Linked DNA regions of Mus musculus. The protein of the gene in region 1 interacts with the protein of each later gene in a pairwise test. Links are inferred from orthologs where the notes say so. Each region holds a gene or a part of one and is shown in the gene's direction. Other genes may lie near its edges.

Region 1 (5,566 bases):
ATCCCAGCTGCCCAATTCATGGCTCACAAAGTGGTGCTGGCCTCCTCCAGCCCAGTCTTTAAAGCCATGTTCACCAACGGGCTTCGGGAGCAGGGCATGGAGGTGGTGTCCATCGAAGGCATCCACCCTAAGGTCATGGAAAGGCTTATTGAGTTCGCCTACACGGCCTCCATCTCCGTGGGCGAGAAGTGTGTCCTGCACGTGATGAACGGGGCGGTCATGTACCAGATTGACAGCGTGGTTCGAGCCTGCAGCGACTTCCTCGTGCAGCAGCTGGACCCCAGCAACGCCATTGGCATCGCCAACTTCGCGGAGCAGATCGGCTGCACTGAACTGCACCAGCGTGCCCGGGAGTATATCTACATGCACTTCGGGGAGGTGAGTGAAGCCGGGCTTTGGGCTCAGAAGTGGGATAGGCCAGCGTGGCGTTCTCCCCTGCGACAGGCTGGAGGAAAACTGTTGGGTGTTTTCTTTTTCCTTCCTTCTTTTCTCCCATAGGGTCTCATGTAGTCCAGGCTGGCCCTAATCTGGTTGGGTATCTGAGGATGACTTTAAATTCCTGATTCCTGTCTCAGTCTGTCGAGTACTGTAGTTACAGACGTTCGCCCTCCCAATACTTAATAGAATGGAGGCCAGCAGTGCCCCGGAACTTGATTTTACTTTTGTTTTTAAATCTTTTTTAAAAAATTATTTGCCTTTAGTTTCTGTGGATTGGCGTTTTGTCTGAATGTTTGTCTGTGTGTGAGGTGTCAGACCTTGGAGTTACAGACAGTTGTGAGCTGCCATGTGGGTGCTGGGATTTGAACTCGAGTCTTCTGGAAGAGGCCAGTAGTACCCTCAACTGTGAGCACCTGTGGTCTTATTTTTTGACAGTATTCTTCTTCTTCTTCTTCTTCTTCTTCTTCTTATTATTATTATTATTATTATTTTGGTTTTGGTTTTTCAAGGCAGGATTTCTCTGTGTAGCCCTGGCTGTCCTGGAACTCACTCCGTAGACCAGGCTGGCCTCGAACTCAGAAATTAGCCTGCCTCTGCCTCCCAAGTGCTGGGATGAAAGGCGTGCGCCACCACACCTGGCTTGACAGTCTTCTTTAGCTGAAGCTTTTTTGTTTTATTTATTTTTGTTTTTCAGGACAGGGTAACAGTCCTGTCTGTCATGGACCTCAATGTGTAGACCAGCCTGGCCTTGAACTAACAGAGATCTTCCTGCCTTTGGGAGTAAAGGCCGCATGTGCCACCACACCTGGCTATTGAAGTTGCTTTTTGTTTTGTTTTGTTTTAAGTCCTGTCTTTGCTGTCACTTTCTGAGTGCTGAGTAACACCAAACTCTGAAGAAGTTAAAAAAAAAAAAAAGATTATATTTATTTGTGTGTGTATACATGTACTGATCTTGTGTGCAAGTCGGAGGACAAATTGCAGGAGGTGGCTCTCGCTACCTTATATACGTTTCTAGGTTAAACTCAGGTAGGCCTGGCAGAAAAGTGCCTTTACCCACAAAGCCACATTGCTGGCCCAAAAACTCAGATTCTGAGCCCCTAATCCAAATACAGAGAGCCCTTAGGAATAGGTAAAGATGTGCCCTCCCAGTGCCTCAGCAGCCTGATCTCCCTGGGGTTAAAAGTTGTGATGGCCAGCCTGAGCTACACAGCGAGACTCTGTCTAAAAAAAGTGGTGTGTGTGTGTGTGTGTGTGGTGGTGGTGGCGGCACTCAGGAGGCAGAGGCAGAGGCAGGCAGATCTCTGAGTTCATGGCTAGCCTGATCTACCAAGGGAATTCCAAGATAGCCAGGGCTACAGAGAGAAACCCTGTCTTGATCTCCTCCAGAGCAGGGCAAAGTGTGATGAGCAGGCAGGCACCAGCACCCGCCAGCCTCACCCATGCAGGCTCCAGCTTTGCTTGGCTTTCCCTGGGTTCACTTGGTATTGCTTTCATTTTCGTTTCTCAGTGCAGGAAGTCTGCAAGAGAAAGTAATGGGACAGTGCTGGGGAAAGCCTTGCTCTTGGGTGGCAGTGACTAGAAAAGTCCCCTGGACACGACTGCATTCTGAATATCACCAACTCTGAAGTGCACCCAAGGCTTTTGAACACCATGTGCCGTCCACACCTGACCTCACCAGATGGGTGGCAGTGACCGCACAGGCACACTGTGCATAGGGCATACCATCTTCAGAGGGCCCATGTGCTGCTGGATTGCTAGGACACTTTCCCAGCATGCGTGAAGCCCTGGGTTCCATGCCCACCTCACATAAACCAAGTGTGGCTGTGCACACCTTTAATCCCAGCACTGGGTAGGCAAAGGCAGGCAGATCTGTGAGGCCAGCCTGCTCTACATAAAGTTCCAGGCCAGTTACACACAGACAAACACACACACACACACATACACACACACAGAGAGAGAGCCTTGAAGCTGTGTAAGGTCAATATGGACCAGCATAAAAGTAGTTTGTTTATTTATTTAGATTTTTGAGATAGCAGGTTGTCATGGCCCTTGGCTTTTGTCTGAAACTCAAGATTCTCACATGTCAGGTTCCCAAGTGCTGAGACTTGACATGGGCCTTGATGGCTCGAGTGAAGTTGTTTATACCATACTCTTATTCCTTAGGTGTCTCATCATTTGTGTAAAATATTCCTACATCTGAAAAAAAACAAGTGCCAAGCTGTAAACTGCCAGTCATTTTATGTTTTATTTTTATTAATCTAAAAATTGTATTGTATTGTATTGATTTAGGGGGCAATGTGTGTGCCACAGTTCATGTGGAGGTCAGAAGACAACTTGCAGGAGTTGATTCTTCCAGCATATGAGTCCTGGGGTTAAATAAACAAACAAACAAATAAACAAATTAAGAACCCAGTGCCTTTCTGAGCTAGTAAAGGCACTCACTGCCAAGCCAGAAGACCAGTCCCAGGAAGGTGAGACCCCCCCCCCATCAGACATGAGTACATTCACACACATACACAATAAGCCAATAAGTAAATGTAATTAAAAACTATGTAGAACAGGTGGCCTGGAACTCACAGACATCTTCCTCTCCCTTCCAAGTGAATATTAGTCCAATGCTGGGATTAAAGGCCAGACTAGGTTCAATTGTTTATTTTGATATAAGATCTTACTATGTTGTCCTAGCTGGTCTGGAACTGGCTTATGGGGACCAATCTGGCCTTGAATTCAGACATCCTCTTGCCTCTGCCTCCCCTGATATGGGGGATTATAGGAGTGTGCCACTACACCTAGCTATATATATATTTTTTTAAAAAAATTAAAACTAAAATCAATACAGGAGCCTAAAGAGTCCACAGTGTGTGGCCTGTGTGACCCCCGGTGTATGGGTGCTCGGCCTGGATGGAGGGCTTCCCTTCTCACCTGAGCTCCCTGCAGGTGGCCAAGCAGGAGGAGTTCTTCAACCTGTCACACTGCCAGCTGGCCACGCTCATCAGCCGGGATGATCTGAACGTACGCTGCGAGTCCGAGGTGTTCCACGCGTGCATCGACTGGGTCAAATACGACTGCCCGCAGCGGCGCTTCTACGTGCAGGCACTGCTGCGGGCCGTGCGCTGCCATGCGCTCACGCCGCGCTTCCTGCAGACGCAGCTGCAGAAGTGTGAGATCCTGCAGGCCGACGCGCGCTGCAAGGACTACCTGGTGCAGATATTCCAGGAGCTCACGCTGCACAAGCCCACGCAGGCAGTGCCCTGCCGCGCGCCCAAAGTGGGCCGCCTCATCTACACAGCGGGCGGTTACTTCCGACAGTCGCTCAGCTACCTGGAGGCCTACAACCCGAGCAATGGCTCCTGGCTGCGCCTGGCCGATCTACAGGTGCCGCGCAGTGGGCTGGCAGGCTGCGTGGTGGGTGGGCTGCTATACGCTGTGGGCGGCCGCAACAACTCTCCGGATGGCAACACTGACTCCAGCGCCCTGGACTGCTACAACCCCATGACCAACCAGTGGTCGCCCTGTGCCTCTATGAGCGTGCCACGCAACCGCATCGGGGTGGGGGTCATAGATGGCCACATCTACGCAGTCGGGGGTTCCCACGGCTGCATCCACCACAGCAGCGTGGAGAGGTGAGCACCGGGGGCCCAAAGAGACGGTACCTGTTCTTGTCCCTGCCTTCATATGAGGTTGAGCGGCTGGGATGTTCATTCTCAGTGTCCAGAGTTGGGAAGTACTGGAGGGGGCTGTCCCAAACCTACAGGAACCACCGCTGCACACTGGGGGTAGTAGGAATTACTCTAATACGTGAATTATATTGTGCAATTTATAATTACTTTAAAAGGTATCATCTGAACGGGGATGTAGTTCAGTGGTAGTGCTCTGGTATCTTTCTTTTTAAAAAGATTTTATTTATGTGTATAAGTACACTGTAGCAGTCTTCAGACACACCAGAAGAGGGCGGCAGATCTCATTATGGGTGGTTGTGAGCCACCATGTGTTTGCTGGGATTTGAACTCAGGACCTTCCGTTGGTACTCTTAACCACTGAGCCATCTCTCCAGTCCTCTGGTCTCTTTCTTGAATCCAGGGTTTAAGGTCTCATCCCCAGCCCTGCCAAAAGGAAGGAGGGAAAAGAAGAAAAAGGGCTGGGGGTGTGACTCAGTTGGCAGAGCACTTGCCCCGCGTTCAGGAAGCCCTCATAAACCCAGCTGTCATCCCAGCGCTCTGGGGGTAGAGGGAGGAGAATCAGGAATTCAATATTTATCTTTGGCTGTATGGCAAGTTCAAGGCCAGCCTGGGATATAAGAGACCCTGTCTCAAGACAGACAAACAACCCCCCCACACACACACACACAAATTTAGGGCTTGGAGCAAGGGTAAGAAAATGAGAAAAAATTTTAATTTTGTATTTGTAGTGCTGGGAATAGAACCTAGAAATCTATGCTTGCTAGGTCAGCTGTCTACCCCAAGCTAACCCCGCCCATGCCTGAAAATGGAAATGTAAACAAATGTGCTAGGGGCTCTAATGTGTGTGGTCTGTGAATAGGGTGGCCCCTTCAAGGACTGTAGGATGCAGGGATGGACTGGACGCTGCTGGGCTAATGGGGCGTGTTCACCCATCTCTGATCATGTTGCTCAGAGAACCACCTGGGAGACCCAGTTAGACATTTGGAGTTGAACACCTGCCCAGATGTCACTTAGTGACCCTGGATGTCCTACCCCACATGTCTGTAGCAAATCTTGTGGTGTGAGGCAATGAATCCTGCTAGGGGTGAAGTGCACAGGTGCTGCAGCCCTAAGGGGTAAAGCCGTCTAGGCTAGAGGGAATTGCTGTTGCTGTCAGTCATAATTGATGACAGTGAACCTGGATTCTGATGACCCCTCACTTCTGGAGCCAGGCCTGGTGCTGCACATCCTTCATCTCTCCGCACTGGGGAGACTAAAGCAGGAGATCGCGGAGAGTTCAAGGCTAGCTTGAACTACATAGCAGGGTTCTATCTCAAAACAAACAAAAAACCAACCAAACAAAAACCTAAAAATAAATGTGCAAGCAGATGGAGGGCCGTGGTGTAAGGGTTGACCACGGGTGACCACGGGGTATTATGTCTTTTGCAGATATGAGCCAGAGCGGGACG
Region 2 (6,026 bases), on another chromosome or scaffold:
CTTGATGCCAGCATGGCATACATAAAAGCCTACTGCAAGAATAATACAAAAAAAGAAACCAAGTAACACTAAGTTTTGTGACAAAAAAATTAAAAAAATACTTAAGCCCATATAATAACATTTCTAGTGTGTAAAAATACTATTTTTAAGAAAAAATTAGCAGATTAAAATTTTTCTATGATATTTAAAATAAACCGCTTAGTTTCAAGACCCTTATTTATATATATTTCCAATACGTATGATGCACATATTTTAAATTCTAAAGAGAATATAAATCCGCAGTATATTACAATTCAACATGTCATTCTGCGGTTCACTATCAACACACAAATGCCTAGAAACTATTAATCTCTGTTTTTTCTCCCTTGGTGCACTGAAGCCTTCATTTGCATTGTTTTTCAAAGGTTGCATTGTGTGGTTAAACACTGCCCTCTTCTGGTATCTGGGATTAAATGTGTATCCACACAAAATTCTTTATGGTTTATTACTGCAAAATTTCTTGACAAGTTGTGTGTGTTATTAGTTAATAAGTAAATGTTTTTAGCCCAAATCAAGTAAACTTTTTCTCAAATCATAACCACAACAATAAGGAATCTCATTTGCATTTTTCAAACAAATATGCTATAAAAGGAGACTAAACTAGGGAGTATACATTCTCTAATAAATCTGCCACTAACTAAAAACTGGATCTTGAATTAACTGTGCAACCACTCTAGATCTACTATACTATAATTTGATTAAGTCATTAATGGATTTCTTCAGCCTCAAACTTTATGTGCTTCTAGATTTAGAAAAAAAAAATACTTATTTTAATACCAAGGGGGGGGGTCAATTTCTATTCCTCCCTGTTCAAACATTCTTACCCTAAATAATACACAGCAAGAGTCTACAAAATTGTGAGTCAAAGTAAATATGAGAAACTGAGAATTTTTCAAGTATTTTATAGTATTGCTTTTAATAAATGGGGAGAGAGGTAATGTTAAACCACGCAGTCAAAAGGAAATAGGAAAGAAATCAACCATCAAAGATTCCAGATCTTTTAATGTTTCTGAAATAAATTAGATTAAGTCCAACCACCGTTTGGTAAGAAAGAGCTAGTACCTCACTTTTATCTATACCACCATTTCTTTCCTCCTCATATGTCACAGTTTCTTTCTCTGATGTATTGTTTATACAACTTCCCTGGCATCTGTTTAGTTCAGGCTCTAAACCTTCTTCTTTCTTCTCCTTGTTCTTTCTTCTTCTTCTTCAAAGATTTATTTATTATTATTATTATTATTATTATTATTATTATTATTATATATAAGTACACTGTAGCTGTCTTCAGACACACCAGAAGAGGGCGTCAGATCTCATTACAGATGGTTGTGAGCCACCATGTGATTGCTGGAATTTGAACTCAGGACCTTCGGAACAGCAGTCACTCTTACCCACTGAGCCATCTTCTTAAACCTGCATATGATAGTATCTCTAATAGTCAACTGGTTTCAAAATGCAGTCTGAGTACCAGAGTTAGAACCATTTAGCATAGTTGGAAGATGTGCCATCTCCTGGACACAATACTACTGTACAATATTAAAACTGTAGCATGAATCCCATATGTAATCGTACATGCTCTGGTATAGGCCTTAAACGATCAAAAAGAAAGTACATATGACTAAAAACTTAAAAGCAAGCTAATTGCAAAAAAAAAAAAAAAAAAAAAAAAAAAAAGGAAATCAAGTGTCTCTATCATTTAAATCCTTTGTGGACTTATAAAATCTATGTAGTATAGAAAAATAAAGACATTACTAAATGATTATTAGTGTGTGTGTGTGTACACAATTTGCAGGGGTTCGCTTCTCTACTTGGTGACAAGCATCATTAAGCTTCTGTCCCACCTAGTTCCCTTCATCATATTTAACAAAACCAAAAACCAGGTTCTCCCAGACTTGAAACTATCCTCGAAGCTGAGACCATGCTTCAGGGATGCTCAGACCACGGGTTTGACAGGCAGGTAATCTCAGGACCATCTCTGGGCCGCTTCTAGGTCACCTCATCCGAGGTCCTGCACAGTACGGACCTTGTAGGTCACCAGGACCTGGAACAAGACGCCCCAACCACTCTGCGCTTGCTCATTCGGTCAGCCAGCGAGGGCGGAGCCAGGGCCGGATACAAGTCGCTTTGGGCGGGGCTTTAACCCGTGGTGCAACTGGGCATAGGGCGGAAGAGCCGATGTGGAGCGGAATGTTGAAGAGACCCGGCTCTCTAATGTGGGAGGGGCTTAGGGAACAAAACGGAAGCCTGAGGCGGCCTTAGGGAGGGATTCGGAGTTACAAAGCCAGCCGGAAACTGGCGACGTAGGTGGGGCTTAGGGCTCATTACGCCTGCGCACCGAGCAACCGGCGGGCTGCGTAGTTATTTTTGAACCGGGTGGCGGGGAATAGCTTAGAAGCCATTAGGGCGCCGTCTGCGGTGAGGTTGGTAGTGTTCTCCGTTCGATCTAGTGATGGCACAGCAGCTCGCCCGAGAGCAAGGCATCACCCTGCGTGGGAGCGCAGAAATCGTGGCCGAGTTTTTCTGTGAGTGCTGAGCGCAGCCCCCGCCGCCAGAGAGAGCTGAGGCTGAGCCGGGCCTTAGGACGCGCGCTAGGACGGAACCACGGATCCTCCCGGGGGCGGGGAACGCTGCACCACCCAGCGCAGGCCTGGGCCTCCTGGAACCTAACGGGGCTGACCTGGGTCATCATCTTACTCGCTCTCTGAAAGCTGGGGTCTGTGTTGACATCCTCTGACCACATGCTCTGTATTTACACTTAGCAAACCTGCGAAGTTGGACATTGCTGGGTTAAAGGTTTTCCGTGTCTTTTTGTGCCTACTCTGCTTTCTGGGAGACTTAAACGTTATTACACGGTTACGGCTTTATTTCTTTCGTTTTCAGCATTTGGCATCAACAGCATTTTGTATCAGCGTGGCATTTATCCGTCGGAAACCTTTACTAGAGTGCAGAAATATGGACTCACCTTGCTTACAACTACTGACCCCGAGCTCATAAAGTATCTCAATAATGTGGTGGAACAGCTAAAAGGTAATCACGTTTTCAGTGTGTGATCTTACAGGTTTGTGTCCCAAGTAACTTAAAGCAACATGCCTTCTCAAATGTCATTCTCAACTGGGAGGAAGCAAGCAATGGAGGGAATCCCCACCTCTTTTTAAGTAGGCTGAATGTCTTGATGTTAGGAATCTTTAAGCTGCTTTAAGAGTGGGTTTTGTAGGTTAACCAGTTGCAGCAAATTGGAAATTTTACCCGATTAAAAGGATTTCGCCATTCTGTGTTTTGCTTTGTAGCTCCCAATGAAATCATACAAAATACCAATTCTAAAAGCATTGCAACTGCCTTTTTTTCTCTTTGAGTTTTATTGTACGTGAAAGGGTGTTGTAGTTTGTTTTAATTGTAAATTCATTAACAGTGTTTATTGCTTTTTTTGTTAACTTCAGTATTAAAATGGCCTTTTGGTGGCCACCTGAACATGGTTAGCTTGGCATCTGTCTTTAAGGCCGTTTTGTTTTGCTTTGCTTTTGAGACAGGTCTCTTTATGTAGCTCTGGCTGTCCTTGAACATGCTATGTAGACCCGGCTATCGTTGAACTCACAAAGATCAGCCTGGCTCTACTCCCAAGTTCTGGGACTAAAGGCATTTGCCACTGTGTCCAGTTTAAGGCCAGACTTCTAAACATGCCTTGCTATTTGTATCCATAGTAGAGTATTCATCAACACTTGTGCAGGTTGGATATGAATTCACAGGCAAAAACGGCAGGGCTTTTAAGCATAAGATCTGCTTTGAATTCTGGTATCTGTGGATCCTTTTACCCCCTGCAGCTCACTTACTTGCAAGGATGATAGTTTAGAAACACAAGGCTAATTGGTCACTCTGTCCAAAACACAGTTGTGGCTTTCCTGATTCTTAAAAGTACAGTTTCATTAATTTAACTTGTAAGATTTTATATGACATAGCATCTTGACTTTTCATAATTATGTAATTTATTTACTTTATTGAAAAGAATTTACTTTTCAATTAGTCTGCCCATGTATGCATGTATATACATGTGTGTGTGTGTGTGTGTGTGTGTGTGTGTGCAGGCGTGCATGCATGCCCTTCCCATTTAAAACCTGTATTTGCCTCTCCTTTGTACAGTTAGTGTAAAAACTAATCTTTCCCTCACCTACCAGAGTAGTCCGATTTTTTATGCTCTTATAGTGTCTCTGTTGTGACCAGCCACCACAGATGTGACTGGCGGTGGTTAGATGAGTATATGTCATATGCTCTCACTGGGAATTGCAGAGAAAGTACAGGTTCACGGTTCTGATGCTCTGCCTTCTGCCTATTAGTAATATGGAGAATTTAAAACTCAGCTAAATTATTAGTGGAGAATTGTCTTCCTTATGCAAGAAAGGAAGTTCAATTGTGAGAGTTCTGTAAGGCCGAGAGTGGGTCTTTGGAAGAGAGTCTCTGTCATAGGCTAGAGTCTGAGCGCTGCCTTGTGTGTTGCAGAGTGGCTGTACAAGTGCTCAGTTCAGAAACTGGTGGTGGTCATCTCAAATATTGAAAGTGGTGAAGTCCTTGAAAGATGGCAGTTTGATATTGAGTGTGACAAAACTGCAAAAGAGGAAGGGTAAGTATGAGCTGAGTTATTCCTACCTTAATTTGTTTTTATGTTGTTGCATGAGTTCACATTGTATTGAACTGATTTCTTACAGTTACTGTCTATGGTATGTTTTTAAAGATACTTTTGTTCTTTTGTTAGCTTGTGAGGGATTTCTTTTTTTTTTTTTTTTTTTTTTTTTTGGTATTTCGAGACAGGGTTTCTCTGTATAGCCCTGACTGTCCTGGAACTCACTTTGTAGACCAGGCTGGCCTTGAACTCAGAAATCTGCCTGCCTCTGCCTCCCGAGTGCTAGAATTAAAGGCGTGCTCCGCCTCGCCCAGCTGTGAGGGATTTCTGAGTTCCTCATAGCCTGTCAGGGATTGTGTAGATAAGATACTTTCAGCATACTGCCTTTGGGAAAACCCCATGAGATTAGGCCTTCGTGTTTGTGGTTATACCTGAACCTCTCACAATATAATATATGTGGGCCATGTAATCACTGGCTTAAACGTACAGGAGATGATCCTAGACTCATTCCTAATTTAGATGAAGCTCTACTGTACTTCCCCTATTGCCGTGAACTTTGTAAACTAAAGATTGCAAGCACTCTACATCAGAAATGCCTATCATGCTAAGCATGTGCTTCTGGAAGGTACTGTAATGAAGAGCAGTTTGTTTCTGAAGTCTTCAATCTATAGGAAGTCGTTAGCTTATAAAAACATTTGTATGTAATTTATTTTACCTGATTCAATCAGGAATCCGGTATTTAGATGTTACCTTTAAAAAAAAAAGTCAAAATTTAGGCTGGAGAAATGGCTCAGTGGTTGGGAGCACTGGCTACTTTTCTAGAGGACCCAGGTTCAGTTTCCAGCAGCCACATGGCAGCCCACAACTCTGTTTAACTCCAGTTTCAGGGGATCCCCGGCAACAGGTATGCATGTGGTGCACATAAATGTGCATGTGGGCAAAATACCAAAGTTCTACCAAGTTAATTTGTTGGAATCCATTTTCCTTTATGTTAAAGACTTACTGAAAATATGCTTACTGAGAGTGGTTGGGAAACTTACCATGCACAGAAGGACCAGATACTAAGATCAGCCTTAAAGAATGATGGGAAGGACAGATACAGTAACCCAAGAATATCTTTAGCCATTAATCTTTAGTCTCCTAATGTATTGCATCTGTGTTGTTGGAAGCATTTTGTTCAGAGAGAGTTACCAACGTGTTTTAATTAACTTAATGAAACCTAGAAGGAGTTATTTCTTTGATTTTTTTTTTTTTTTTTTTTTTTTTTTTTTATAGTGTTCGTAGAGAAAAGTCCCAGAAAGCCATACAGGATGAAATTCGCTCAGTGATTAGACAGATTACAGCTACTGTGACATTTCTGCCACTGTTGGAAGTT

Evidence for each region. The genes of interacting proteins can lie anywhere in the genome.
Region 2: the proteins of Keap1 (region 1) and Mad2l1 interact in binary tests that used the Homo sapiens proteins (3 or more experiments, as listed by UniProt). The two-hybrid records come from large-scale screens. The link is inferred for Mus musculus from reciprocal best matches to the Homo sapiens genes KEAP1 and MAD2L1.

Annotation. Positions count from the first base shown.
Region 1 is NC_000075.6:21,231,883-21,237,448, reverse strand, and holds part of Keap1 (kelch-like ECH-associated protein 1), read left to right. Parts: coding exon 1-378; intron 379-3,375; coding exon 3,376-4,061; intron 4,062-5,546; coding exon 5,547-5,566. UniProt on the Homo sapiens protein: Substrate-specific adapter of a BCR (BTB-CUL3-RBX1) E3 ubiquitin ligase complex that regulates the response to oxidative stress by targeting NFE2L2/NRF2 for ubiquitination.
Region 2 is NC_000072.6:66,533,039-66,539,064, forward strand, and holds the start of Mad2l1 (mitotic spindle assembly checkpoint protein MAD2A), read left to right. Parts: upstream 1-2,182; 5' UTR 2,183-2,488; coding exon 2,489-2,561; intron 2,562-2,919; coding exon 2,920-3,066; intron 3,067-4,530; coding exon 4,531-4,651; intron 4,652-5,926; coding exon 5,927-6,026. UniProt on the Homo sapiens protein: Component of the spindle-assembly checkpoint that prevents the onset of anaphase until all chromosomes are properly aligned at the metaphase plate.